4 linked regions of the Lepisosteus oculatus genome follow. The protein of the gene in region 1 purifies or fractionates together with the protein of each later gene. This does not show direct contact. Links are inferred from orthologs where the notes say so. Each region holds a gene or a part of one and is shown in the gene's direction. Other genes may lie near its edges. The genes, in order: ddx20, ago2, gemin2 and gemin5.

Evidence for each region.
Region 2: the proteins of ddx20 (region 1) and ago2 purify together in Homo sapiens (affinity purification with western blotting; 3 studies listed by BioGRID). This does not show direct contact. The link is inferred for Lepisosteus oculatus from reciprocal best matches to the Homo sapiens genes DDX20 and AGO2.
Region 3: the proteins of ddx20 (region 1) and gemin2 purify together in Homo sapiens (affinity purification with mass spectrometry; 6 studies listed by BioGRID and IntAct, counting the BioPlex papers as one, with this or other methods). This does not show direct contact. The link is inferred for Lepisosteus oculatus from reciprocal best matches to the Homo sapiens genes DDX20 and GEMIN2.
Region 4: the proteins of ddx20 (region 1) and gemin5 purify together in Homo sapiens (affinity purification with western blotting; 6 studies listed by BioGRID and IntAct, counting the BioPlex papers as one, with this or other methods). This does not show direct contact. The link is inferred for Lepisosteus oculatus from reciprocal best matches to the Homo sapiens genes DDX20 and GEMIN5.

What each region holds. Positions count from the first base shown.
Region 1 is NC_090700.1:32,130,910-32,138,900, reverse strand, and holds the start of ddx20 (probable ATP-dependent RNA helicase DDX20), read left to right. Parts: upstream 1-4,988; 5' UTR 4,989-5,001; coding exon 5,002-5,197; intron 5,198-6,849; coding exon 6,850-6,944; intron 6,945-7,358; coding exon 7,359-7,527; intron 7,528-7,991.
Region 2 is NC_090705.1:34,006,312-34,013,910, forward strand, and holds the start of ago2 (protein argonaute-2), read left to right. Parts: upstream 1-4,595; 5' UTR 4,596-4,800; coding exon 4,801-4,825; intron 4,826-7,494; exon of another isoform or gene 7,495-7,599.
Region 3 is NC_090703.1:3,376,085-3,383,059, forward strand, and holds the start of gemin2 (gem-associated protein 2), read left to right. Parts: upstream 1-3,956; 5' UTR 3,957-4,188; coding exon 4,189-4,307; intron 4,308-4,509; coding exon 4,510-4,594; intron 4,595-5,138; coding exon 5,139-5,228; intron 5,229-6,230; coding exon 6,231-6,290; intron 6,291-6,386; coding exon 6,387-6,506; intron 6,507-6,732; coding exon 6,733-6,777; intron 6,778-6,924; coding exon 6,925-6,975. Other genes in the region: mia2 (cTAGE family member 5), read right to left, coding at 1-1,673, 2,071-2,157, 2,522-2,655, 3,276-3,393. UniProt on the Homo sapiens protein: The SMN complex catalyzes the assembly of small nuclear ribonucleoproteins (snRNPs), the building blocks of the spliceosome, and thereby plays an important role in the splicing of cellular pre-mRNAs.
Region 4 is NC_090706.1:40,639,814-40,647,501, forward strand, and holds the start of gemin5 (gem-associated protein 5), read left to right. Parts: upstream 1-4,668; 5' UTR 4,669-4,805; coding exon 4,806-4,947; intron 4,948-5,162; coding exon 5,163-5,317; intron 5,318-6,108; coding exon 6,109-6,290; intron 6,291-6,881; coding exon 6,882-7,036; intron 7,037-7,486; coding exon 7,487-7,591; intron 7,592-7,688. Other genes in the region: mrpl22 (large ribosomal subunit protein uL22m), read right to left, coding at 1,252-1,321, 2,241-2,318, 2,593-2,658, 3,464-3,596, 4,072-4,114, 4,202-4,229. UniProt on the Homo sapiens protein: The SMN complex catalyzes the assembly of small nuclear ribonucleoproteins (snRNPs), the building blocks of the spliceosome, and thereby plays an important role in the splicing of cellular pre-mRNAs.

The sequences.
Region 1 (7,991 bases):
CAATAACAATAAACAAGAAGACTACAACAATAAATAAGAAAATTTCACAAGACAGGACACAATTATAATTACAACAATACAACAATAACAATAGAGGAGACCGTGGAAGATGGTATTAAGAAGAGCAGAGGGGTGAAGAATGGAAGCAGTTAAGTAAAGGCTTTTCTGAAAAGGAGGGTTTTGAGTCTGGATTTGAAGGAGTTTAGAGAAGGTGACTCTCTAATATCCTTGGGCAAGGAGTTCCAGAGCTTGGGGGCATAGCAGGAGAAGGCCCTGTCGCCCATACAATGTAGACGGGCTTGGGGGACAGTAAGGAGGGCAGAATTTGAAGAGCGGAGGTTGCGAGGTGGGGAGTAGGGCGATAAAAGTTCAGACAGGTATTGAGGTGCCAAGCCATGTAAAGCCTTGTAGGTGAGCATGAGGATTTTAAAGTCTACGCGGAATTTGACCGGAAGCCAGTGCAAGGACTCCAGGATAGGAGTAATGTGAACACTTGCACTAGATCTGGTCAGGATTCTGGCTGCTGAATTTTGGACATACTGCAGCTTGTTCAGAGTAGATTTAGATACCCCAGGGAGCAGAGCATTGCAGTAGTCAATTCGAGAGAATACAAATATGTTGATCAGCTTTTCAGCCACAGTTAATGATAGCATAGGGCGTAGTCTTGCGATATTTCTAAGGTGAAAAAAAGATTTTTTGACAGTATGCTGTACATGTGGGTCGAATGTTAAGCCAGAATCGAATATAACCCCAAGGTTTTTCAATTTTGATTGGAGCTCAAGTACAGAGCCATCTACAGACAGGGTTACAGGACTGGCTTTACGAAGTTGATGGGGGGTACCAATAAGCATGACTTCAGTCTTGTCACAGTTAAGATGAAGGAAGTTTTGAGTCATCCAAATGTTTATGTCAGAGATGCAATTAGATAGAATAGAGACAGCCACATCAGTGTCGGGTTTGGTATGGATGTATATTTGAGTATCGTCAGCGTAAAAATGAAAGCTGAGGCCATGTGATCTTAAAAGCTGACCAAGTGGGAACATGTAAATGCTGAAGAGCAAGGGGCCCAGTATTGAGCCCTGAGGGACACCAGACTTGACAAGACCAATTTCAGACCTGTACCCATTGAGAGACCTTTATTAGGTATTTGGTGATGAGTGAATAAAGTGCACATTCTCACATGGAGTTTATTGATGTGTGCTATTTTAAGGGCTTGTGTGTTTTTTTCTTTGTCTTTTAAAACACCCAAAGTGATTTTTTTGTGTGTGCAAATCCCTAGAACGTTCCTAGCAAAAAGTTGCATTGTCATTTAGACTGCTACTGCAGGTTTTGCAAATCACAGCCTAACCCATCAAAAATGGGTTTATTAATATGATAAAAGAGTTCTAATGTTTAATGTTAACAATCATTTAGAACTCACTGGGAAAGCATACTATATCTTAGCACCATAGCCACAAAGGTTGAACATTTCTTCCACTATCTAATGCTGTTATACGGCTAAATATCTCAAATTCAAATTGTATTCTCTCTAGAGTGACAAGGATAAAAAAGAAAACAAATTCCAGAAAACACACAATGACTATTTGACATCAGAAAGTAGCTGAAAAATCAAACACATTTTTGAACTCGTCTCCTTTCCCGTTATCTGACCCAAATCCATGTAAATGAATGCTTGTCTCAATTGAATATTCAAGAGCGTTGCTTGTTTGGATATCCCAGGTGCATGCAGCCGTGGATGGGGCAGAGATTCCGAAACCGGGCCCAAAAGCAGAGGCTGGAAATGCATTAATTAAACATCCGATGAGCAGCAAAGCAATCTGTTTGGGGAGAGCAGCGCACAGTGTGAGAGATGTCTGATGTTGCCGTCCTGTGTCTTGTGCCACTGTTCAAACCAGAGCAGAGGCAGGAAATTATCCAAATGCAAAGGATAATGTACTCTAAGGCTTAACAAGGAGTGCGCAACACAGAACCGCTCATTTAGGTAGGAACTTTCTGATCAAAGCTTGGTGATGTTTGATGTGGAACAAAGGTCCAATTTTGCAGACAAAGGAGGGTTGAATATGGTATCTCAGCTGGAATTTCATATAAAGGTTTTGCATTATGATTTTAGTGACAATACATTTGTACTTCTTAGTACGACACAGAAAAAAGAGCCTGGAAAAGCAAAAAAAAGCTTATGAAATAAGAAATAGGAAAGGGAGGATACTTATTCTTCTTGCTTTCTTTCCAAGAAAACCATTGAATTATAGTTACCATTGAAGGTGTTATTTTTTACGATGGAATTTTAACAAATATTCAGTTCAGATTCCGTGCACTTTACTGAAACATTTACCCTTTGTTACACTGTTACAAACTAAGTGTGAATTCTTTATTCTTATCTGAAATTATTTGGCATGCTAAGCTGTCATTTCACAGAATAATTTTCTGAAACTTCCACGAAGGCCTATTGCACAGGAAAAGTGTGGCAGGGGAAGCAGATTAGTGTTGCTTTGAAATACTGAACATAGCAAATGTTTCATTTTCTTAATCCCCAACTTTTTGCGTTCTCCTGCCAGGTTCAAACGAGGGCCAAAGATGAAGAGAAGATAATTGTTTCACATCTAGTGTCCTAAAGTTGAGAAGCAAGTCATTCTCTCCAAAAACTCCAAGAAATGAAATTTGTGTTACACATTGTTCTGAAATCCATTGGTTCACCACTTAATACAGCAGCCTATACAACACCACCACCCTTCCTTCCTGCTTAATTTCCCCAGTATTGGCCCCATGAATGGCAACACAGTGCTGCAGTGGTTAGCATTGCTGCCTAACAGCATTGGAGCCCTGGATTTAATTCAGGTTCTGGGGTGTTATCTGCATGCATGAGTCTGGAGGTTTGCCCTGTGTTTGTGTGGGTTTCCTCCAGGTGCTCCAATTTCCTCCCACAGTCAAAAAACATACTGTTTCATGAATTGGCTTCTGGGAAACTAGGCCATGGTGTACATGTGTTGGTGTGTGCCCTGTGAAGGACTGGTTTCCCTTACAGAGTGTAAGCTGCCTTGCCCCTGATGCTTGCTGAGATAGCCTCCATCTGGCCAGCGACTCCGTATTTTATAATAGAGTTAGAAATTGGATGGCTGGAAAAAACAGGGAGCTGTGTCTGCCTGCTTTCCTTCTCTCCGTTGGCTGTCAGTGTAGCTTCCTAACTGTTCAAAATGACTGCAAACGAGGCCTTAGATCTGTGGACACTTGTGTGAACGAATGCCAGCTGCATGTCTTAGAATAGTGTGGACGAGAAGAGAGACATGAGTATCATTGCTCTGGTGTACACAGATCTAATTTACTTCTGGTCAGCCCTACATTCCTCTACCGCTTTTAAAAACACAAGACTGCAAATTGGGAGGCGAGTGAGAGGGAAAGAACTCACCCTTTCAGTTTTTCTCCATTATTCTTTGTCGTGCGTAGGTAATTACTTTTAATTATAGCTGGCAGCTTCCATTCACAATACAGAGAGTAATGATGAACATGCTTGTACTTTGTTAATTCAGGGGTTTGGTGATGCTTGTTTCAATGATAAAGCTTGCACACTCATCAGCTCTTGTAATTTTCCATCATTTAGGTTTGAGGGGATGTTTCGGGTAAGGGGAGTCATGTCTGTCTGATCTCATCCTCCTGATCCACCCATTAAAATTTGCACCAGACTTTGGTCAGATACTGTACATATCTTCACACTTACAGGCTTTGTATGGGAAAGCCATTCCATTCATATCCAAATCAAGGGTTACTCTGGATGTTTGTGTTTGTGTGTTAAGGAGGAGTGAACAGAGACAAGACTACATCCTTCCTGTTACATATCTTGTCACAGATGGGAACAGTCTTGCATGATGTGTGTCAGCTATTTTGTGCCCCACTGCCTAGTAACCTGCAGTCCAGTTTGATCCCTTGATTACTCTCATTGGCTTAATCAAGTACAAGATTTGGACCTCAAGTTCACTGTATATTTCTGACTTTGTACAGATTATGCAGCAGCAGCATTTAACTTGCAATTCATACGTTATGAGGTCCTTCACTCATACAGGATTAAAGTCTTATTTTGATCTGAGTTACTGATCTGCCACCATGCATGCTATAGTAAGAGATGTATCAGGCACTCTAGAACATGAAAGAGTGCCTGGGTGCCCCCTAGAAACCACAAAAACACAACAGCAGCTTAGTGATTCTTTAACCAATGCAATAAATCAGTGGGAAGTGGGTTCAAGTCTAATGTTTCTTGTTTAAAACATAGGATTTCAGTACCTTAGCAGCTGTATAGTGGTGGAGTGTGGTTGACCTTTGATCTGGTGATGGTAAGTAAATTAGGGATTTGTCAGTCTAACTGCATGCACTACTTGAGATGTTTTCACTGTTTAACATTACAAAATATTGGCTGTATTTGCAATTCACTGAGATGGACTTTTAATTGAAATGACAAATTTTCATTTAAATTACTAAATGTAACTTAGCTTTATACTCTTTTTATAACTTTTATTACTACTGCTACTATATGTTGACCTTTTTGGATTTGCTGGTAGTCTTAAAGTTTGGTAGCTAATGACAGATCAGGCTTGTATTCGTCATCCTCACGATCGTCTATATTTTTGTCAGAAATGTCAGAAATTCGAATACCAATGAAAGTTTATTAACAGCATGTGTACTTTAGACGTTCAAATACTGCCCCGTAGCGGCTAAATTGCAAATTTCCTTAAGGTGTAAAACAGGCGATGAAAAAGAAAACCATTCAAGCAACGCACCAGGTTTTTGGAAGTCAAAGCTAAAGAGTCAGTGTTCTTGGCGGGTAACATTATCTTTCCCAAGGATTTAGAGTTGATTGAAAGCAGTCTACGATGTGTTTCAGAATTGCGTTGTCCTGTCCAAGGTGCTGATAGTACTCAAGTGAAACTGAGCGTGTGAGCAGCATAGAGCCTAAAGTAACGAATAAAGTTTCATCGTTCAATAAGCGGAAAGAACGCGATATTTGGGTTCAAAATGGCAGCATCTATGAAGAAGGCTGCACATGATATTCAAACCAGGAGGCGGACTGAAGATGTCTTGCTCGCAGAGGGTATTGATTTCAGCTCGTTGTTGCTGTCCCAGCCTGTCCTCGATGGACTGGCTGCCGCGGGTTTCCAGAAACCCTCCCCGATCCAGCTGAAAGCCATCCCGCTCGGTCGCTGTGGGCTCGGTAGGATCGCTATTCTTACGAACGTTTTGGGTTGGATTTAAATGTGAACTGCGATTTGCACTTTGCAGCCTAAAGATAAAATCTCTTTAATTAAAGTGGTGCTTCCTGTAGTGTAATAGACACTCTGTTATCTTCGTTAACATTAAGATAAGCAATTTCTGGAAATAATTAATCATATTCGTAAACGATTATAGCACACTGCGGTGTGTACCCATTACAAGATACAAGATAGATTAAAAAATCAGGTGTGAATTAAATGTGCAGTATTGTTGGTAATGAAAATAATGTTTATTACAGATGCCATGAATAAACAATTCCGTTTACCTCGGAAGCTACATTTCTCTATATTTGGGAAAGTGGGAGGCGTGGCTGGCAAGTCTGCTCTCATAATTGAGACATGTGCTCTCGGTACGGCTAACGCCATATAAACCAGTGTAATATAAAAACAAACCAAAAAAAACCTGTAATCTCTGAACCGATGGACGACCGTGACTTAAATATGGAACCACACCTACTGTGATGGGAAAAGCCTCTATTTATCTGTAATGTTAATTTTGTCTTTGATATAATGCTGTGCTGCTTCAGTTTTCTTCTCCTGTCAAACATAAACGTGCCCCAAACCTTTCGTATTAGCCACGGTATGAATTATACAACAACGTGCATCCAATTGTAGGAGCTTTGATTTCAGACATCTTCATAATGTCTCTTATCCAAAATCAGTTGGCTTTGGCTTGCAGTTACGAGATCTTTTTATTTTTCAGTGGTGTGTGAATAATTTATATGCCCATTTTAAATGACCCTTTTACATGGTCTTTACAAAGAGGTTAGTAGCTCTCAACTGCACAAGATAAAAGAAGTATAATGGTACTTTTGCAATTATGACAAACACATTTTTTTATTGTGCTATAACTACCACTACGCAGTGGATGTCAACTCTCTCTGAAATCCAGACCATGTCGAATTCTGCTGAAGTGGGGTTCTCTGCTGGCTAGATTGTAGTGCTGTGGCCCTGGGCCTGGGCAGGGGTAGAGTAGAGCTTCACTTGTCACTGGTGTTGTGTAGAATTCTCCTGTGGTGGAGTTGTCTGCTGTCTAGGCAGTGGTGCTGTGTGGACACATGCCTCCGGCTGTCTGGAATCAAATCCCAGCTGGCTCAGGGAGCACTGTACTTGTCACACCTGTCCTACCCCAGCGATGCTCTGCCAGTTGTGTATCAGTGCCTGAGGAATCCTGATGGTGTTTATCATGTCCGGGTCATAGGGCTTAACGTGCTCTCTCAGTGATCACCTGTACTGGTTAGATCAGTTGGGAAACCCAAAGTATTATCACAAGTGTCATTTATAAAGACTTTTAGTGAGCATATGATATTATTGGGTTATCCGAAATGGTAGATGCAGGAAGAAGACATAATAGAAAATATTATTTAGGGAGGTAAAATGCTTCCAGCTTTTTCATAAAAAATCCGGAAGCCTGGTATCTCTTTTCTTGTTCTTTCAGCGCAGAATAAACCTTTACCTTTTCCTTTGCAGCCTACGCATGCTGACACGGCTACCTACTCGTTTTTTTTTCATATGCAGTAGAATTATGTTTCCAAAAGTATTTGTGGTGTGAGGCTCCCCCATGTGGTCTTAATTGGAATTTGTCTTTTTCCAGATCTTATTGTTCAGGCCAAATCTGGCACTGGGAAGACCTGTGTGTTCTCCACCATTGCCCTAGACTCTCTGATCCTGAAGAATGTGTCCACACAGGTGAGATCCTGGCATACAGCAGATACTTTAAAGGTTGCAAACCTGCAAACTGCTTTTGTGTGGCAAGCCTGTCCCTCATTAATGTGACTTAAGTTAAACAGTTATAGAACTCCTGGCAAGGGTCTGTCATTACTAGAGCAATATGTACAAATCTAAAATGGACATTTTCATGTCGCTCTCATGTCACAGCAGCCTGGCTGTCTCTGTCACCAGTACTATAAAAGTTTTTTAAATACAATGTTGACAAATAACAAGTGTGTGATTGTAGATTCACCGCGATAGTAAATTGCAAAGACTAAATTTCATTCTGGGTTAAACAGAATTGCACGAGCAGGGATTTTTATTATTTTTTGAGCCCCAAGGACTACAGGTTTGTTTTGCTCAGTCTGCCTCAGCGTCTCGCTCTTTTGGCAGGTGCTCGTTCTGGCCCCAACCCGTGAGATTGCGGTGCAGATCCACTCGGTCGTCACAACAGTCGGCGCTGCCATGGAAGGCCTGGAGTGCCACGTGTTCATCGGGGGCACCCCAGTCAGTCTGGACAAGAGCAGGCTGAAGAAGTGCCACATTGCTGTGGGCTCTCCAGGTCAGTAAGGAAAGTGTGGGCACTGCTTAGATTCTCAGGGTTGTAAGCCTCTGGTCAGAACACATTAACCACTGGCATTTCGTTTTCTGTTGATCCTCACCTCTCCTTACACCAGTGCTAAATAAACATCCATCGGAAAACTGCTTATCCTGTCAAGGATCACAGCACACCAGAATCAGTCTGACATGACTGCAGGATGTGCCAATGGGCTCCTCTTGTTTTTAAGCTTTCTGTCATTCTCCCTCTGAACCTGACACCAGTTTATTGCAAAACTATGGAGAAAGGGACATCATGGATTTCAGTCCTGGTCCCCTGGGGAAGCTCCAAATTCTGAGGACTCCCCCTGTCTGCAGCTGAGCCTTTAGTAACCAGTACTAATCATGGCCAGTAACTGATCTGCCCAGTGCTTATTCGCAGGGTAGTTTATTTTAATTTTCTACTTGAAGTAATTTTTTAAATTTGCT
Region 2 (7,599 bases), on another chromosome or scaffold:
TAGAACTTTGCAAATCGTTCAGGTACTTTTGGCTTGGCTTCAAAGTGCCCTTGCTAATCAATTTTCTGTTTACCCCATGTACTCCGTGTGGAAGGGCAGGTTGATCTAGTTAATGTCTGGTTTGTTATGATGCCCATTTTCCCTTCTTCATAATCAGCTTCCTGGTACTTCCTGCAACTCACAACTGGCAGCCCCACTGAAGCTAAGCAGGTGTGAGCCTGGTCAGTACCTGGATAGGAGACCTCCTGGGAAAAACTAAGGTTGCTGTTGGAAGAGTTGTTAGTGGGGCCAGCAGGGGGCGCTCACCCTGCGGTCTGTGTGGGTCCTAATGCCCCAGTATAGTGACAGGGACACTATACTGTAAACAGGCACTGTCCTTCGCATGAGACATAAAACCGAGGTCCTGACTCTCTGTGGTCATTAAAAATCCCAGGGTGTTTCTCGAAAAGAGTAGGGGTGTAGCCCCGGCGTCCTGGCCAAATTTACCATTGGCCCTTACCAATCATGACCTCCATCTATGAATTGGCTTCATCACTCTGCTCTCCTCCCCACTGAGAGCTGATGTGTGGAGAGTGTACTGGTGCACATTGCATCATCCAGGTGGGGCTGCACACGTGGTGGTGGAGGGGAGTCCCCATAATCTGTAAAGTGCTTTGAGTGGAGTGTCCAGAAAAGCGCTACATAAGTGTAAGTTATTATTACTCAAAGGGATGAGCAAATGTATCCTGATCCATTTGGAGGGGAGTATGCACTCCCCTCCACTTTATCCCTGCTTCATAGAGCTGATAGAGCTCATTACTCTTGTGGTTGATTTGTAATGTTGCTGTGTGGTTTAAATCAAGATCGGTCTGAGGGAACTTACAGAAACACATGGCTTTACTATAAAGCCGAGTTAAAACACTTTGATCACACGCAGACAGAAACCTTTACACTAATTTGGTGACCTTTCAAACTACTCTTTTAACTTAGTGAAACCGAGAGTAAAACTAAATGTCACATTCCAAGATTTAGTGAAGATTTTGTGTTGACAGATATAAAAGTTCTAAGGTACTTGAGCTGTGAGATGTACATACTGTATATCATATATTTAAACATCATAATAATTATTAAACAGAGATTTGGGAAACATATGGAGTACTTTTCTATGGTTTAGTAAGAATAATCAGAAAGAACAGTTCAGCTGTTATCCATAGTTCAATTGTAAGAGTTATGAAATAGGTGCAATAGCATATTAACAACATGGTATGACATATTGCATTAACATTTTAGAAAGAAACCATTTACCTATTACAATGGTTTGATTTAACAGTGAACCATTAAGTATTAGATATTTATTTTGCAATCAATAATTGTTTTTCATGTTCTTATCTATGTTAAAAACATACTCTCACGTTGCAAATATAATTAAGATATGATTATACCTTGTAAACTTATTTTTGTTGAGAGTGGAGGATTCTGGTATCTTTTCCAGAGGCAAAAAAAATAATGTAGAAACAACATATATTTCCTTCTATTTAGAATCATTGTTATTTTAATGTTATTAAACAAACAACATGTTTATAAAATAGCAATGGAAATATCTGCATCATCCTAAATTTATGGAAAAGTGTCGTGTTTGCAGTCTGTCTGATGTGTAGAAAATGAGTGACCTCCCAAGATGGGCTGGCTCACACTAACTGAGAAAAGCCAAGTAGAATATGATCTAGAGTAAAAACAGATATGAGTCATGTATCATATTTGTGCAAGACTGGCTTCACACTGCTTTTTTTCCCTAGAATTTACTGTTCCCATGTGGGGCTGAAACAATGATATGACTGGCTCTTGAGTCAGATTCATGTGTAGAATATCTGCATGCAGCTGCATTCTGGAAATTACTGAATATTGTAGGGCCATGCGTTACTGTACGTAACCCTGTTACTAGATTTGAAAAAAGCAATGCATCAGTCCTAACATTTGGTCCTTATTATAAGACTGCTGAGCACATCCTCTGACATTATCACACAAATCAGGCACACACTAATGCAAAGCAAAAATATAACAATAATAATTCCTTACTTAATTCGTTAATTATAGTGCTTTTCAATACAATAGATCTTAAATATCTTAAACATAGGAGACGATCCACTTCACCAACCAATAAATACAGCTCCCATCTCGGTCGTACGCAGAGATTCCCAGACACAGCAGAGGTAGTAAGAAAATGCTTAGCTGAATTAAGGGGGAATTCTGGTTAGACCAGATGGTATAAACCTAGAGTAGAAATTAGCAAGCACACAAGTCTTTAGTTTTACAAACATGGGACAGACTTTTGTTACCGAAATTTAAAGTCAGCAAAACGGTAAAGGTTTGTTCCATGTTGAAAAGACAAGAAGAGGAACACAATGTTTCAGCTGGGGAGCCTTCTTTGGGTATGCTTTTTTCAGCATGAAATAAACCTTAACTTGTTCCTTTGCAGGCTACCATGGTAACACAACTACATACTTGAATTAGTCAGCAAAGAGGCCCTTGCATTTTTTAAAGAAAATTATTTCTGTTGTGAAAACACAAAATATGTGTAATGGAGAATATAGTATTGTTAGGACAACTACTGCAATCAAGAAACTGGATTCTGATAAACATTATTAAGAAGATATGTTTCCAAGTTCATAAAACATTAATATAACAATATTCTTAACATTTTTCAGTTAGATAGTATTAAACAAATTGTGATCAAGCTAGCGTTTTATTGGAAGGACTTATTTGTAATTTATGATTCATTAATTTAATGAAAATGCTGTAGTCTTTTGTTTTGACAAGTTTAGACGGTACATTTCAGACTATAAGCAGTTTCAAAGTACTTTCATTTTCAATGCTTGTGTTTGCAAAAGGATTTAAAATAAAAGCAAAGGAACTGACCATTTTTTAGTTTTATTATTGTTCTTGCAGTGTAATTAAATTTTACATATTAAAATAGAAAAGCTTCTGCAAAAGCCATCACAGTGTTATATCACATAAAGAGTTTGGTTACCGCAGAAACAGTTTTGATTTGATCCCAAAGAAAAAACATTCACTGCATTTGTAATCATTGGGCTGGTCAGGAAGATAAGATAAGATAACACTATCCCAAAGGGAAATTGGGGAATTTCCTAATTTTTTTTAGAAATTAAGTAATTGTAATTTCCATTCAAATATCTTACTTTCGGAAAGAAAAAACATAATCAAAAACCAATATAGGGTTTGGCATGCTATTGAAAAATATTACCTCTCTCCAGTCAGTCTGCAGAGGAGCAACTAGATACATTCTGGGCCTTAAAGGAATGTTTGGCACCAACAGGTTTTAGGACATGAACCTTTTTAGGTCTGAGCAAAGAGCACTAAAGACAGGAGGGAGCGATCCAAGTATTCAAAACCTCAAAGTCAAGCCAACTTCACAAGTGGATACTATGTGGTAGTTCATTTGAATCTGAAAACAGGAGGCATTTACTTAAACAACATTACATTATTGAAACAATCTACATTGTGAGAGTGTAGAGCAAACTACCCGTCCATGCTGCTGAAGCCGAAACTCTGCCTTCTTTCACAGAAATAAATGGGCGTCATCATGTGGTCAATTACAGCCACAGACGGGTTTTATGGGTCTAATCGGAAGCATAGAGCCCGAGAAAAGTACAATTATCATGTCAGTTGAATTCACGCTGCTTTTCCAGACAACCCTACTGCACCGTCTAGAATCCATAAAATAATATTTGGCGGTTGCATTTTGAGTTCTAGTTACAGATTCATAATTACACGTGGGAAATGATCAACGCTGTTTAAAGTCGAAACAACGCGTTCTTTTCTTCCTAAACTTGGGCTCTGGGGGAGATGAACAGGATAACAGGCAGAAAGACACGCTTGCAGAGGTTGGCAGAGGACGTGAGCGTCGCTTGAAAAAGTTCCCTCTCCAAGTACAGAGGACTCCCGCTTGCAGTTAACAGGGAGGGGAGCGAGGCGGGACATCGCGTCTGGTATGCAAACAGGACAGTCTTGATGCGTGTTTTCTGAATGGCCGTTTTTATAACGGCTAACCACGCCGCAATTATGTTTCAGATTTTAGAGTAGCCCCATCCTCTGTTTATACTTTACGACGAAAAAAAAAGTAACATGTTAAAAGAAGTCATCACAGATCAAAGACACTCAAGCCCTTATTTACTTTATGTTACACGCGACTGTTCCTGGTACCGACACTTAAATGGAAATATTTTTTATATTGTCCCATACTAGATTAGGGCGCCTGCAAAGTAAATATAGTAAAATAATAAAAAAAAAACTGGTTGGTATCCGGTTTACAAATCATCGTCAAAGCGGGCTGTATTTTGTGACTGAGCCAAGTTTTTGTTCCTTCGAAGCCTGTAAATGAACCACATTAAAAAACAAACAAACTGTACAGGCAGGTACGTTTTTGCCAGTTTTTTGTTGTTGTTGTTGTTGTTTCCCGGTGCGGTAACTGAAAAAGCCCATCGCTTCAAGCCTATGAACACCGCGCAGCGGCGGCGTCCGCCCAGAGGGCCCCGGGCGAGCACATGGCTTTCACCGCGCCGGCCCCCCTGGGTGACGTCACGGCCCCTTCTCCTCTCCTGCGGTGAGCTGCTGGGGGAGGAGCGGAGGAGCCCAACTAGCGAGGATCCGTGTTTGTGTTTCATTCCCTTCACCCCCCAACTTTAATCCTCTCGAGTGAGGCTGCCCCTCTTGTTCAACGTAATCACGGCGAATAATTTTTTCTTTGGGGGGGGTGGAAATCTGAAACGTGGAAAGTGAACGGCAGCCGGACGAGACGGAAAGATGTACACGGGAGGAGCAGCTGGCGGTAACTTCATCTAGTTTCTTTTTTTAAAAAAAAAATACTACAGAATGTGTGTTGATGGGGGAATTTAAAAAGCGGAGGAGGAGGTGGTGGTGGTGGGGGGGAGCGTTTATTTGTTTAAGTTTGCCTTTTAGTGGTTCCGTAAGGAAAGTTGGGCTTCCAGTTGAAAATCGCTTCGTGTTTGCAAATCGCCAGGCGTGGGGGGAATGAGATAACGAGTCTTGACGCGGAGAGCGAGTCTGGAGGAAAGAGTTGGGAGCAGAAGGGAGGGATAGAGGCCCAAGACACCGATAACGTGAGGAGAGTAGGTCGGGGAGGGGGGGGTTATCGTGGTACGATTTCGGACGAGCCCCTTGCGAGGTGAGCCGGAGTGGCGCCGCGGTCGTGCGAGTTGGCGCACCAGCTGCGCCTCACGGCGGTTTCTGGTCGCGCTGGCGGGGTTGGCGGTAGGCCTGAGCGCCAAGCCCCGAGCTGGCGTGAGCGCGCAGGCGGGGGGACCGGGGCTGAACTCCCGGGGGCATCCGGCGCTGGCGGCTCGGAGTCATGGAACCGGTGCACCCCGCTTCCTCCTGCGGAAACGCACGCTGAACAAGCTCACGAGTTTATCAACGTGAAAATAATGACTAAATATGGTCTATAAGGCTGCTAGGCACGTCTCTGTACACTGGACAGCACAATGGTTGCGATACTGTACTTTCAGCATCGTGGACTTTTTCTGCTCTGAGACCAATGTTTTCGTCAGCTAGCGCGTATTAAATGCAGAATTTGTACGACACAATTGTGGCTTTTGAATATGTAGGGTGGATCTTGAGATCTTATATCAGTGGTGGAGTGTTATGTGTTGTTAACGGCAGCAAGAGTTTAACTTCATTCCCACACAACTGGGTCGTTCATTACGGTGATGTTGTTATTGAGGGTTTTAAAGTGAAAAGTGCGCAGCTAATGGTAGTTTATCTGTCTAATTTCCACTGTGAACCACAGCGGTTCAGGTTGCGGTTTGCCTGGCATCAGAGCATACCTGTTTTTGAAACTGGAACTAGACCAGAACTACAATCTAAACTCCTTTTTTTGTATCCGAAATGCATCGGTTTTTTTCCCGCTGGCTCTCCTTGCCCTTTTAAGTAATTACACACTGCAACACAAGACATTTTACGTTGTGTACTGTATTACAAAGGGACTTTATATGTGATCAAGAACGCAGATTCCAGTAATGCATCTTCAGTTTACCTTAATCATCCTCATTTTCCCTTTCCCTTTGACTGAAGGGGGCTTTATCTGGGAGAAAGGGGATGTCCCTGTCATCTCAACGGTAGGGAGGGATAACTTGGCTAGTGTAGGTGCAGAAAGATGAAGCTATTTTTGAAGTAGGCCATACGTCTTTCAGTGTGATGACCACAAATATCCATGTGGTAATTGAAATTGTTCTGTTTTAAGACATATGAATGACAAAGTAGTATGGGCTAAATTTCATTAGAAGATGACTGCTCTAATGGCATTTTGGTGTGGATATCACATCTCCCATTTGGCTTTGATATTCTTGAAAACTAGGTATGGCTCATATGTAGTAAGTGCTATGAGTGATTTTGAGTGTCAAAATGAGAAGGTGATTGTGCCTCGCCCCTGGTACAGAATGATGTTAAAAAAACTGTCTAGGGTAGATAAAAAAACCCTAAACTGATGGCGGGATTTCAGTATGCTTCAGTTAAGCGTTCTTAAAACTGCTGCTTGGTTTCCTCTGATTTCTAGATTCAGACGTGAGCGAGTTATGTGCTATCCTCAGGTTCACTCAGTTCCTGACTGACAGAAGAGTATCTTAGTCAAGTATCTGCACAAGTTCCTGGAATTTGCTGGCCAGTTTGTATGATCTGAAAGCCTTGCACAAAAGCCAGGCCCAGTTGGCTCAGAGCAATCCATTGCACTCTTATTTTGTAGCTACAAGTACAGCTTTGCTCCCTTTTACAGCCTAGAACAGCAGTAACACATTATGATCAAAACCTCAGAAGGTCTGTGAGCATAGTGATTCGTATTTGGATTTCCACAACTTATATATTGTAAACTCACGATGTATTATAAACTCAGAAATAAGTTTATTGTTCAGATGAAATGTATAAGGAGTGTTTAAAGCTGTATTTTGTTTTAAAAGCAGACCCTTGGAAACAAAGGTTGGTTGTAATACTAATTTGATATTTTCAACAGTGACTCAACTTTTCGATGGCGAGTTCACTTGTAGCATTTAAGTAAGTGAAAATGTTTATAAGCCTTATATCAGATATTCTGGATTGCAAATGGTAGGGAAACACACTTGGAGAGTTTTTGATTATTATTCGGGGGATTTTTTCGAGACTTTCTGGCAGTGGGCACGTGGAAAAAGGTCAGATCCTGGATCGGACGGCACTGTTTCTAAAAAAGGTTTGTGAGATAGTGGAAGATACGGAGGCACACTTTCTTGGAAAATTGAGTGTCTGCCTTTTCACTTGATCTACAGACATGAGAAACCTGTCTCGGCTGTTACTATTTGTTTGTGATAGATTGGATGAAAAAGATGAGATCAGTACAAAATTGGCCTGTCAGCTCTGTTCCAGCAGAATTAACATCCTGTATGTCTGATTCCTGACCCTCAAATAATCAGTTTGTAAATTTGTGCAATAATATTTTACTAATCATATATGGATGTGATTTGGTCAGTTACACTTATATAGCTCTTTTCTAGACACTCCACTCAGAGTGCTTTACGGTAATGGGGACTCCCCTCCACCACCGCCAGTGTGCAGCCCCCA
Region 3 (6,975 bases), on another chromosome or scaffold:
AACCTAGAATTCAGCATGTTTTCAGTATTCTCACTGGCACTGGTTTCTTCTATCCTTACTTTTGCCTCACTGTCACCCTGAAGATCACTTACATTTTCAGTGATATCTTGCACAATGCCTGATTTCTCAATCTGATTTTCTGATAGTAAAGTACTTTTTCCAGCAATGTTTATTCCAGTTCCATCAGATTTTATGGTATGATCTTCAGATTCTATTAGACTTTCAGATTTTGAGGCATTATTATCCACTGACAAATCTAATGATTTTAAATTAACTTCTGAATAGGAACTGATCACGTCATGTTCCATGACACTTTCTACATCCAGTTGAACTGCAGGTGGTTCCTCTTCTTTAAGCCTATTTTTTTCTTCTTGACTGTTTTGATTCAAACCACTTATGTTTATAGCACCAGATATGATGGGCTCCTCCTTAGACAGTACATGCTCTTTGTCTTCATCTGAAAATTTGGCTAAACTTTCTTCTCCTAGGATATGCTTGCTGGGATCATAATCTTTAATGTTGCCTATGGAATACATAGATTGAGACTCTTCACCCTGAATTTCTTTAACTTCTTTGCCTAAAGTATATTCTTGACTGCCCGTTTCTTGAGAACCCTGAAATGAACTATCATCATCAACGGCTTTACGTCTTGCCTTATAAAATCCTACAATATTATCATAGACACTGCCATACCAACCTGTATTTTCCTCTTTCTTGTGCTCTTCATCTTTAGTTATCACTACTTCTGGAACAGCATTTGATTCTTTCATCTCAGCTTTTAATTCAGACATCTGGGAGCTTTGCTCACTGTTTCGCTGGAGAGCTGTTATTGTTGTTGTTGTTGTTCCACCAGGATCTTTTGCTTCTTGATCCTGTACAGTATGAACCTGTGATTGACTAAAATCCTGCCTTGGTGTTTTCGCATCTACAGCAGTTTCTAACATTTTACTTTCACCCTCAGTATTTTCTCCCCTTCCCTCACCTTCCTTGTCACTGTTCTTCTGACCATAGCTCAACAGATCCCCGACACCAAAGCTAAGCCAAGACTTGGACTGTGCATCCTCTTCCTTTGTAGTCTCTGTCTCAGCTATCACCCTTTTATTACTCGTTGCTGGACTTTGACCCCTGTCCTGCAGTGTGACTTTTACTCCTTGTTTTTCAGGGGCATCCGGACCCACGACTTCAGACGGAGTTTCTTGACTAAGACCAAATATGTTTGATAGTTGTCCCCCAAGCCAACCAGATTTTTTCGCTTCTGCCACTGTTTCCAGCTTATTACCATCTAAATCATTGTCCTTCAGATCCAATGCAATCTTCCTACTCCTAAAGGAGTATTGTTCCTCTTTCTCTTCCTGGGAAACATCATCCTCTTGGCCTCCGATGCCCAGCCATCCAGTAATTCCAGATCCAAGCCAATGTGACCCACCTCGTTCAACAGTCTTGGGCTCCTCGCTTCTGTCAGTGGTGTGCGGTACTGCCGGGCCATTCTCTTGCCCTTTGGCAATACCTTCGCTATTCTTAAATTCTGTTACAGAGCCTCTTCCAGAGCCACTTGCTTCTGGACTTTCTGTTTCATCTCTTGCTGTTTCTTCCTGATGTTCTTCACTGTCCCAGTGACTGGAGTCACTTTCTATGAAAGCACCGTTTCCGTCTAGACAGAAGAAGTCATGTTCCTGAAAGGAAAAAATAATTCTTCCATGAGAACATTGTGCTGAGAGAACCAAATCCCATCGTGCCCAAAAATCATTAGAATCCTCTTTTCCCCCTTTTAAAAAACAATTAAACAGGGGAAGGAGGTCACTAATTATTCTAGTTCCTATTTTAATCAGATTACATTTATGATGACAAGAGTGTTACGAGATGATTTCATCAGAAATTCATGCGGAAAAAGTCTGGCAGAACATGAAATCGTCAAAGGTTATCAAAGTTATTGTGAACTTATAACTGTACTTATTTAAGTTTAAATTATGAAGATAAAGTATTTGGACTTCAAGGATAGAATTTGATTTTCTTAAACTTTCTTCGTTTTTTTAGCCAACTAGTACAAGAGAACCATGCAAAACTCACTACCTTTGTTGGAACCTGCACTTCTTTTGTTGCATAAGTCTCTTCAACCTCAACTGCATCTTTTGGGAAATAACCAAACCGCTTGCCGATCTAAAGGAAAGCAACCAGAATTTCATTACTTTTATTATACTAGACTTTACATTTCAAATCGTATAGCATTACAATAATATACATATATTCAAGTAGTATAATTTTTAACTATGGGCATTAATATGAGATGAGCCCAGGGTCTTATTTTGTTTTAATAATTGGATTTAAATGTTTAATATCATGTTAGCTCAGTGAATCATCGTACTTTGCATTGAAACATGCATAGGGAAACAATTGAACAAAAACGTGTAATGTTCCTCTAAAGCAGCAATAAAAATCAAAGAACTATGTGTGTTTTATAAGCAGTTGTCGCTCCTTATGGCGGTTTTTCAGTTAAATATCTGATTTCAGTTTAAATACATACAGTTCCTGCCCACAGGTCGTCTCTTTTTCCTGAAAGTTTGTGATATACGAATATTACGTCACCGCTTCTGAAATTCAAAAATCTGCAGTCGGGGTTCTTATAGTTTCGTATGGCCCGGACTCGATTTATTGAGCCTAAAACGATACAAAAAAACACAAAAGGTCATATTCTTGCAAAACGGAAAAAACAAGCAGGTACTAGTTTGTAGTAAGAGCAATTAAAACACCATTCATTTTTAAAATTGCGTATTTTGCTTTGGCAATCAGGAAGCAATGGCTCAGAAGTGCTATATCCACTCGTTGAAAAGTATTTATAGACTTTAAAATGGAAAATAAACATATATATATATTAAGCTTGTAACGTTTACCTTAATATGCGAAATGAATGTTATCGACCTTTGACCTATAGTTTGCTTAGTCACCGAGTACCAAGTCTAAAATTGGTTAACTCTGAACTCGAAAAAAATATATTGCTACGCAGATCGAGATGTATTTAAAAAAATATCCATACTCTTGAATAAAGATAAAACAACTGGGTGATAATGGTTACCATACTGTACATTTGTCGAAACAGTCTACATATGCTAGTAGATGCACTGAAATAATGACATTTTTAAAAGCAAATAGAAACCTACTCCAAACACGAGTGCTATTAAAAAACCTTGCTCATTAATTATTACTTTCTGGAGGTGTAGTTACCTGGAAAACTTATTTCTCTAGTTAGACCCCATATTGTAATAAACATTGATGCTTACTTTCACACTCAAGATCTCCACATGTTTTGTAGTCGGACAGTAACCCCAGACTTTGCCTAGTGTTGAGTAAAAACAAAAGAGCTGGCAGAAAAAGCAGTTCACTAATCCCCCGCACCATGTTTTCAATTAGAAGAAAAAACCCATGTTAAACAGTAGAATCTACTTAAATAAGTTATTTCCACAGCGCCATAATATGGGTTAGAGAAAGTCGTCTTCTAATGAAACAGAAAAAAGGCATAAAAGTTTGAAATTCAAGATATAATCCTGCGAAAACAGCGCCTGTTTAAAATGCGGAGTCAGGTCTGTTTGAGAGTAAATCATTAACTGCAATTGAACGGCTTGAGGGCAAAGCCCAGATAGCATGGACTCTCAAAAGACTATAACAGTGGATTCAGCTAATGACATTAAAATACATTTAGGGGAATCAGGGGTAGAATAAACGACATCAATGGCGACAAGTTTCGCACGTTGCGTTGTAACATAGCGATCTGCGTTCTGAAACGGGAAAATTGTTAATGTTTATATTATTTTCGAGGTGAACGTTTAACTGCTAACACGATAACAGCTAACACGCAAATACAACGTGTAGTTTCAATTTAGTCGACCTATTCATATTTTCTATACTGCTTCACTTCATCTGTACTGTTTGTGCATTTCTGGCAACAAGCGGTAACCATGGCAGACGTCGCGTAATTTGTGCGTCACAAAACAACATGGCGGCGACCAAGGGAGAATAAGAGTAGCGCATGAACGATCATAATTTGTATTTTAAAGCGTTGAGTGACTACAAAGCATTAATCTAAAAAAAAAAATCAGAGATTTAATATGTACCCCGTTTCGAGATAAATCCACAGCTGGGATCTTAGCCCAGAGGTTAGTAGTGGGGATCTATTTCAAACTGAGCACAGCCACTATGAAGTCCGATGTAGAGGAACTCATGCCCAGGCTCCTGCCTGTGTCAGAATACGATACTGAAGACATTGATCCCAACGTACCTCCAACAAACCCCCAGGAGTATCTGCGACAGGTTCAGTAAGTTCGTTTTATGTTTTTTGTTAAAAAAAGCTTATTCATCTCTGTGATGAAAATAATAAATTAATCGGAAAGGTAAATCTAAACAGTTCTATCGCAGAGAATGACGCTGTGTGCATCTGTATTAAAAAGTGCAGTTTAAACAGGATTCTATTGGATCTGTAAGTATGGAACAATTCTGTGAACGGAATTTTCTTTTCAGGCTGGAGGCTGCGATGTGTCCTGATGTCGTTGTTGCCCAAATTGACCCAAATAAGCTGAAAAAGAAACAGACTGTGAATATTTCGGTAAGGTGTCATTTATAGTTCAAGTAGGTACTGTAGATGCGTCAAGCTACTTCAAGTAAGGTGACACACCTGAAGAAGGCCTCATCGCCGAAACGTTGTGTTTCTTTTCTTCTCTTTTCAGCATGGAATACACCTTTACTTGTTCCGTTGTTGTTTATATTCCGCTGTGCTGGAGTATGCTGTGTTTGTATTGCGTGGAAAACCATTATTACAAAATACATCCTTACTGCCCTGCAGTTCTTCTAACTTCTTCTGCTTCTAAGGGGTTCCTCTTAAAATCATTAATGGATTAAAAAACTGAACATGTCAATACATTATTTCACCTTGCTTAAACATAAGTGTTCCCAACTCGTGGATGTTACTTCCATTTAGTACTGTGAGAATTCATTTTTCTTGGATTACCATTGTGTAGCACAGTGCTTCACAGGGCTTGCTGACACAAAATCTCGACAAAGCCTTACAGTAACACTGACGACCACTTGTGTGTGTATCTGGGTGTCTGTGATTGTGTATCTAACATTGGACTGACTTCACTGTCTGCCAGCTTTCTGGATGCCAGCCTGCCCCTGAAGGACTTGCCCCAAGTCTCAGATGGCAGCAACAGCAAGTTGGCAGTTTTTCAGATGTCAGACAGGTAAAAAATATTTATTGTAAAGTTATTGTACTTAAAGTATACAGGCACTGGCCAGGCTCACACCTGCTGAGCTTCAGTAGGCTGCCAGTGGTGAGTTATATAATGGTGAATTGTATAATGTTAGCATACCCAGAGGGGTTGGGCAGCCAGTTGACCTTGGACCCCTAGAGGTTTTTCTTCTCTTTACTGAGGAGTTTTTGGTTCCTCTCCTCTGTTGTCTTCTGGCCTTTTCTCTTTCTGTGACATGTAACATGACATGTAATGTATTGTCCCACAGCTTTTTTAAGTGTCTTTTTGGGTCAACCTCGTTGTGAAAGGCCCTATATAATATTGAATTGAATATGGCTGCTGGCGTAAAAGTGCCAGCGCCTGCTGTATAAAAGTCTCCTCCCACAGCTGCAGATAATATTATCCTTTTACAAGAACTGCTGTAATGCATTGTTTTCAGTCTCTATGTCCAGATAACTGTAGTAAAGCCGTGCCTGCAGTTCCCCTTATTCGTTCTAGTTGAATTATTTTCGCACAACACTTTCCTGCCTTGTATAGGGACTTATTTGCATTTCTCTTGACTAGATTTGCATTATTTCCCCACTGCTAGGCTGCTGCGTGTATCTGTTTCTTCCTGTCGTCATCTTTATGCTGATTTATTCTAAGTTTGTGATTTGTGTCCTTGCTTTATTAGGATTTTATTGTATTGATCTACCTATTGCATTGATCATATGCAACTGGAAGGGCTCCTGGATAAGAGCTTCTGCGAAGCATATACATAATGCTAAAAAGGTGTCCAGCTTTATAATATAGGTCACAACTCCAGTCCTCAGAGCCAGAACACATGAGGTTTCTTGTTCTCTTTCAACACGTATTTAATTGGTTCAGTAAAACAACTAGTCAGCTCAATTAAGTCTAGAAGAGCAGAGATGTAATGAAAACTTATACACTGCTGCCCACCAGGGCTAGAGTTGCACACCCCAGGCGTATAATATCTATATTTTTTGCTTTCAGAGGGTAAACAAACATCGGCAGCACTGGAAGGAGCAATCCCTGGATGACAATGTGATCATGGTGAGAACATACCACTGAGACACTTGATTTGTAACTTGGAGGGGGGGGAGAATTGGGTCAATAGTGTTCAGTTATTTCTTCATTTATACTCACTAGCCCAAAGCAGGCGATGAAGAAGGGTGGAAGAAGTTCTGCTTGGGCGAGAATGTGTACTTTGAAAGGCCACGCACACAGGACCCCATCGAGAGCGACAGCCCCAGTATTGATTACGTCAAGGTGATTATTGACCTGTTCGCATCCCTCTGCTGCAAACAAAGCACCGCTGTATTGAAAGCTATACACAGGCGGCTAGTGAGGGGAATATTGTTCCCCATGTTCCTTTTTACTCTGATCCAGGAAAGCCCTGGCTTTGGAGATGAGTAATGAGATTTTCCTGACCTCAGCTGTTACACATGTGGACCCATTGAGAACATGTGTGACTCTTCTGCTGTCTTTCTTTCAGGTGGGGTTCCCTCCTCTGCTCAGCATCGTCAGCAGATTTAGCCAAGTAAGACGTTTCATTTTGCTAGTACAGATCAGCCTGCATTTGCTTGTATTTGATTTAGGCACCAAGGTGGAGAAGGTTAATATCTGAGAAAGACAAGAAATACATTATTGCAGTGGTAATATAAATTAGTTTTGCTTTCTCTTCAAGGTATTAGTTACTACTGTTCTGGAGTATTTGATCAACTGGTTTGGGGAGAGA
Region 4 (7,688 bases), on another chromosome or scaffold:
GGCCATTCAGCCAGGAAGAGCTGCCTACATTCCTGTACAATGACAGGTTCTATTACCGTGCAAGTGTGGAAAGTGCCCAGTGTCTCAGCCTCCACACTGTTTCTTGGCCATCTGGCTTTTATCTAGTTCCCACTTATATCAACACATTCTGTTTGTCAAGTGTCATCTAAAATAACTACTAGAGTCAACCTTATTTATTCAAATTTCTAAAAAAACAAGACATGTATTTTACTGTAGTGCAAGTATGCATTCCCTCTCTGTTCTCTTAACTCACCCTGATTACCACCTTCATTTCACATGAATATTTAATGAAATATAATACACAAATATTTTAGAGCAGAGGCTCACCAGAATACTGTTTCCTATTCAAAGTCAAGTGAAATCAGTTAAAAAGGCAAAACAAAATATTCGGTATTGCTACTCATAGCAAGTCAACTCTTTCCAGGTGACAAATTCCGAAGGTGAACCGCCACACCTGCTGGTAAAACACATTGGAGCACAAGCAGAACCAATGCAGGAGCAGTAAAAGAAAAGACAGATCCATAGGAAGAATTAATATTCCAGTGGAACATGATTAAATTTATGCATAACACTGAAATCATATTTGATGACTTTTTTCCATAGCTCAAACTAATGTATTTTTAGGGCATTTGCGAAGAAGGATAACTATAAAGCACAGAGAAAGAAAAGACTGTGTCTTACAGAAAAGGCATCACCTGGAATCGGAACAAATGCAGCGCGAGCAGAGATGAGTATATTACTTATCTAGCTATGACAATGAAGCTGGATCAGCAGTTTCTCTCTGTCCCCAAAATAAGAGCAGCTCTAGTAGGTCTGGTATAGGGCCTTATTGTTCTCATGCCAGGGCAGCATTTCCCATAGAAAAGCAGCAGCTGATTCACCAAGCAGTACAGAGAACACAGCAAGCAACTAATGAGCTTTTCTCAGGCAGATGGGCTCAGTAATCAGGAAGACTTTTTTTTTTCCTGCAGATAAACTCATGAAGAAAATAAGTCTGTTAATCTGGTTTTGATTTAGTCTTTTTAAATCACATTTTTTGGCTTGCCTTCATTTCTCAAATCATTCTGCAGTGCATGTGTTGTTTGATTTTCCTGAGGACTATACTGTCTCTAGTTTCTCGTCTCTTGTCTATGAAGTGAACTCACAAAAATGTGAGACAGGAACCCACTAGCATGACTCTGCACATAAAAATGAATTAACAGACACAACAGCAGTGGGGAACACACTTACCTACATACAAATTTGATTTGTATTCTACGTTGTGGTTTCTCACTGCCATTTCCTGGGCTTCTAAAAGAACCTAAAATAATTAACATCAGGTTAATTAACTAGGCAAGACCCATACAGAATGAGTGAATCAAGTCCACTTATGAACACTTCAAAGAGCATCCCCTCAAAATTTAGAAAAGGCAGGTATTTTTCTTTTACCCTCCTCTGTTCCACATTGCCCACTGGGCTCTCTGCTACCATGTTTGTGTGAGCACAGAGGTGACTGGACCCATGAACGCCTCCCTTCCAAGCATGCTGCTGTCAGGCTGGTCCAGGAGCAACATGCCCATCACTGCCAATCCAGCACACCTACAGGCAGCCAAGCCTGAACAGCCAAGCAATATGTCAGCTAATGACACAGCCCTGGTGAGAGCTGGTGAAGGCTGAACTACAGGACTAAAGCTGTCCCCTGCAAAACAGTGTTACATCCTGAATCCTGCTCTCCGTATTATATACACAGTACATCAACATCCCTTTTCCCCACATTCGCTATAATCTGAGAGATCAGATTTCTGCCAAGACAAACTAATCCGAATATGCTCTGCCTTTCAGATATAATGTTTTTAGTGCTAAGCTTTATTACTAGTTTATAGTATAACTAGTTCTAACTTATTAAAGCGCTTTAAGAAGCCACCTTTAAAGGCACTATATAAAATAAAGTTTATTATTATTATTATTATTATTATTATTATTATTACCTTTGGGGATCCAAACCCTGAAAAAAAGGCACTGATAGACAGTAGTATTGAACAAACATTCTCTAAAAAAACATACAGGTGTTTCTGAAACATGTTTTGTGAAAACAAAATTAAATCTCTACAGCTTTAGACCAACAAACATCAAAGAGTCAGACTTTTTAGATTTACATAGGAAAACCTAGCACAATCAACAAAACATTTTAACCTTCCTGAGATTTAAGGATCGCTACATCAGCATCTTATCTCACCCACCTCTCTAATAATTGCAGCACCCTTCTTGTCATTGAACTCCAGCTGGGCCAAGGCTTGATCTATTGTCATTCCTCGAATCTGTAAGTATTAAATAAAACATTTTTTTATCATTTATTACGCGGCTGAAACGTTCATCCAAGGCAACTCTCTGGCAACCCTGGTGAAATAGTTCCTCATGTATCAGCCTGCTTGACTGTGCACCAGGGCAGCTGGCACACACCACTTCAGTTATGGAGGAAACGAGTCCTCTCCTAGAAGTACAGCACAATGGCATAAACAGCATCACATACATGCAAACAAATTATTACCTTCCCTAGAGAACACAAGGCTATTAATCAAAAGTCTAATTTACCAGTTTTGCCAGATACCACATCTTGTCCTTGCTGTACTTTATTTGTCTTCTACAGTGGTGTACTTCCTGCAAAGAAAGAGAGAAAGAAATATAATTACACAGATTACATTAATTAGATTGTACAGATTACAGTTTAATTACACAGATTCATTCAATTGATTGTCTAATTAATTAAGATTAGACCGGTAAATCCAAAAGTACAAAGTGGTACAACAAGATAAGATAAGATCAGATCAGATCACTTTATCGGCCATATACAATTTCTTGTATTAGGAATTTGTCTTTTCTCAGACCCCAACCTGCTCTCCATGAGACACACAGACAGGGAGAGAGGCTGGGGGTCAGAGCGCAGGGTCCGCCATTTATACAGCAACCCTGGAGCAGCTGGGGTTAAGGGCCTTGCTCAGGGGCCCAACGGAGTAGGATTCCTCTGCCGGCCTTCCAGCCACAGGCACAGATCCTGAGCCACAGAGCCACCACACCACACCAGTCAGTCAATTATTTTACTTTTTCCTTCCACCCACAGCTCCCCAAGGCTTAAATAACATGTGACAACACTGGAAAAGTCCAGTGGGACTTGGTACAACACAGGGGCCCCAGCGGCATCTCAAGCAAAGAACACCGGGAACTCCCTGACTGTCTGAGGCCCACCGAGGCCCAGTGTGCTGAGCCCACGGCTCACCACCGCGCACAGAGGGCGTGCAGCACTGAAAGCTGGCCGTGCTTTCAGCTTGGAACTGGTGCCCTGGCGTAAATTCACTACAAACGAGCTTTCGATCACTCTGAGAAGCAATGCACTGAAACATATCTTTGCCAGGACTGCAAAAGCGTGACAGCACGCCTGCAACCACGCGGGAGAGCTCAAACTCACCGCGGGCCTGCGGGGCTCATCCGCGAGCTGCGGGGGATACACGATGCGATTCTTCCTCTCCCAGCTCTTGACCTCCAGAGCCGCACTCGAGTGAAAGCCGGAAGTCTGTCCAAAGCTGCATGACCCAAGCAACCTGCACAGAAGACACGCATTACTCACTACTATTACACGGCCGAGTGTCTGTGCCAGGAACATGCAGTTCACGAGTGGGCTACAAACAAGGATAATCGTAAAGCGACACGAAACTATAGAAAAATCCCAATTGCCAATGACAAGGAGGTGATCCATTTCTGCAGGCCCAACGCAGTTACCTTATTCTTTCGAAGTGCCGCCATAGATTAAAATATTGTTGGTGTCCGAAAACGACCCCCTTTGCAAACTCATGAATTTATATTACTCACAAAGGACATCTACCGGAAAGACTCGACATCTTGATTTTATTGTGCTTAGCACGGCGGAGAACACATGTCTACATGTTTCTTCTCTTGCCGATTTACACTTCAGGAAGCTGTTCAGTTTTACTGGGAATTGTGTATTGCTATGGTGCGTCCTTCCCCAAGACATAACAGCACAATGCTACTATTAAAATTGTAATTAACTTTACATACCTCGTCTGCACCCGTCCAGCAATGCTTCTTAAGAATGAACTACCTGTTGTGGAAAAAAAATCACAAGTTTTTTTTTTTTTAATAAATCAAAAGTCACGTTTCAAAATACAAAAAAAACGAATAATCTTACCCATTCCCAGCATAGCGGACGCCGCCATAATGCTTCCAGAATAAATCACTTTACGGCAGGAAGAGATGTGGAAAGCTGCTGCAAAACCAAACACAAATCGCAAGGAGAAAGTGAATTGCTGAAGTTATAATACCGCAAAACAAGAAACGTTTAATATTAAATATCGTTAATCCCGCAGTGTTCATTCAAAATGATATAGATTGATGACCCCGCGACCCTCACCAGGCCAAACATAAAAAATGGATGGATGTTTATGACACTTGACCGTACCCGCAAGAGTTATAACGTTGATTCATATAAATTAATATTAACTCTTAAAAAAGCGGCGCCAAATTCAGTTAAAAATAGTAACGCTGAAAATACTGCCAAGAGTTAAATATTATAGTTGATTTACATAAAACTTCTGCGCCGCGTAAGAACGTGAATGAAGTTTAACCCTGTTCGCTTCCTGTAGTGTTTTTGCGACAGTTGTGTTCGTCGTGCGGCTGTCGTTCTGTTTAGACAGCAGCATGAGCGGATCCCCAGCGTGCGTCTGTTCCAGTTTCGCTGCGTGATGGTCCACACTTTCTCAGCTCTTCTTTAAGTACTGGCTGAGCGAGTTAGGATGTCCGAGAGACTTTTATCAGCGTCTCCAAACTGGTACTGCTCCCGGTCCAGTGACACGAATGTCAAGGGAGTTTTGGGGTTTGGAGCTAAAAATTCAGTATATTTGCTGCAGATCAGTTCACAATCGCCAGCCATCCTAGGTGAGCTGTTCCCCACATTCACAGTCCCTTAAAAAGGCTGTGTGTTTTTTTTTCCTGTACTGTATGTGACACCTTAATTATATTGTCAGTACCTTAAAGCTTTACTTTTCAATTCTGTTTATGTACTTAACATCCTTAACAAGACTTAACATCCTTCCCTATTGCAGCTGTGTACTCTGCCCTGAGGTGTCGAATAACTGCCTTGTTCCTCTCAGGTGAGCTGACTGGCCACAGAGAGCGAGTCTCGGGTTTTACTTTTTGTCGCTACCCTGGCCAAGAGGACCTCTGCGCAAGCTGCTCAGATGACGGGACTGTCAAAGTCTGGGACTCGCAGAAAAGAGCTCTGATGAAAGAACACAAAGCCCACCAGGTGAGTGCAGAGCTCTCTGTAGGCTCCCCCGGGAAGCTCTATTCAAATGAGTCCTTGCTGTTTCTGTGATTACTCCAGAGTGTTTTTATAATTATAATAATTGCCCTCACTTATACAGCGCTTTTCTGGACACTCCACTCAAAGCGCTTTACAGGTCATGGGGATCCCCTCCACTCCCACCAGTGTGCAGCCCCACCTGGATGATGCGCCAGTCCGCTCCCCACACACCAGCTCTCAGTGGGGAGGAGAGCAGAGTAACGAATTCATAGAGGGGATTATTAGGAGGCCATGATGGTTAAGGGCCAATGGGAAATTTGGCCAGGACGCCGGGGTCACACCCCTACTCTTTTAGAGAAACGCCCTGGGATTTTTAATGACCACAGAGAGTCAGGATCTCGGTTTTACGTCATATACGAAGGACGGTGCCTGTTTACAGTATAGTGTCCCCATCACTATACTGGGGCATTAGGACCCACATGGACCGTAGGGTGAGCGCCCCCTGCTGGCCCCACTAACACCTCTTCCAGCAGCACCCTTAGTTTTTCCCAGGAGGTCTCCCATCCAGGTACTGGCCAGGCTCACACCTACTTAACCTCAGTGGGTGGCCAAGTGTGAGTTGCACAGTGATATGACTGCTGTTTTTAGTAAGATTTGCCATTTTAATACACCCCCTTCATAAGAGAATCACAGAGACCACAAGTGTGAGGCGGTGCTTCAGGCAGGTTCTGCTTTTTTTGGGTTTGTCTGACTGCTCCACTTGTGCTGCAGTATTTTGGCTGTTCTGTTTCCAGAGCACCATAACAGCGCTGCACTGGTCTCCCATTGAAAAGGACCTGGTGGTCTCCGGGGATGAGAAGGGGGTTGTGGTGTGTTACTGGCACAACAGGAACGACACACACAGCTTCTTCCCTGAGCCCAGGAATATCTTCTGCTTGTCCTGTTCTCCTCACAATGAGAACCACATCGCTGTGGGGTAAGTACTTGCCAAATGAGTGGACATTTTCCATGCAGCTGACGAGTCATTCTGAATGTCTTGTAATATACAAACTGTTCATCTCTTCCAGTGTGTTACGGTACATAGCTGGTGGGGGGTGGGGCTGGTACCTCTGACAGCTCACTGTCCAAACTTGGGGTACCCAGAGTTCTCCCTGTTTTGTCACTCCAAATGATCACTGTTGCTTTAATTGTTCAAGCAGTGCGCCTTACGTTAGTCACGTTCATGACGCAAATCTGAATTGGCTCTATTTGCATATTCGTATTTCACAATCACAGTGATACCACATGTCATTTCTCAATAGACCTGTTGGAAAAAGCTTTTTTTGCATTACCAGTGGTTCTCATCTAACTGAAAAAGAAAAATCTCAAGCTCTTGTCTTAAAATCAGTGTACACCTTGAGTTCTTGGTGCTGTATTTTGATGCCGGAAGTTACGGAAAAAGGAAAAATATCCACACACAGGAGATATAGATGGTTTGTTATGTTGCTTTCCTTGTGAAGGTAGGGGCCCGTCTGGCCTGGCGGGTCCTTGGTGCTGTTAGCGAAGCTCTCGCTGACCTCTCCCACAGGTACAAAGATGGGATGGTGATTGTCATTGACATCAGTAAGAAAAACGAGGTCGTGCACCGGCTGCGAGGCCACGATGACGAGATCCACGGCCTGGCCTGGTGCCCCCAGCCTGGCGAGGAAGCGCTCTACAGCCGGCCGGCGGAGGAAAGCGCAGGTACAGAGCTCTCGCCAGGTGACCTAGGTGGGCATCATGGACGATAGGTGCAGGGCTTCTGAAGAGGAAGAAGATGGAAAATATGAAGAGCTGGAATCGTCCAGCTCTTTGGTATGAATGCCAGTCTTGTTTCTGAGCGTCTGCCTCAGACCCCGCATGATGCACAAAGCCAGACTTTCACACAGATCTGCGTCTTCTGTGCTTCTCGCCTGGCATTGTGTGTCCCATTCAAATGGTCTCTACTCCAAGGCTGTTCATCTGAAAACATCAGGGCTCTGGACTGCTGTAGCCAGCAGTCTCTTTTCGTATTTTAATCGATGTTGAGTTTCTGCCTTTTTTCCGCTGGGTAAGAGAGCCGGTATCACTTATTGTTTGCCAGCTATCAGAGCATTCAGACCCGCTGGGCGAACGCACAGAGCAGTTCCCCTGACCCCTCTGTTCCTTTGACAGAGGTGGCCAATGGGGAGGTGGAAGATGAGAGCGAGAGAGGCTGTTACTTGGCATCGGGCAGCAAGGACCAGACAATCCGCCTTTGGAGCACCAGGAAGGGAAAAGGTTTGCTTTTTTTAAGTGTACTGAACTCTCTCAAACTGTGGTTGTTTAAGTCTTGAACTGAGCTTCACTGGTTTATTGACCCTTGAGGACTTTGTTT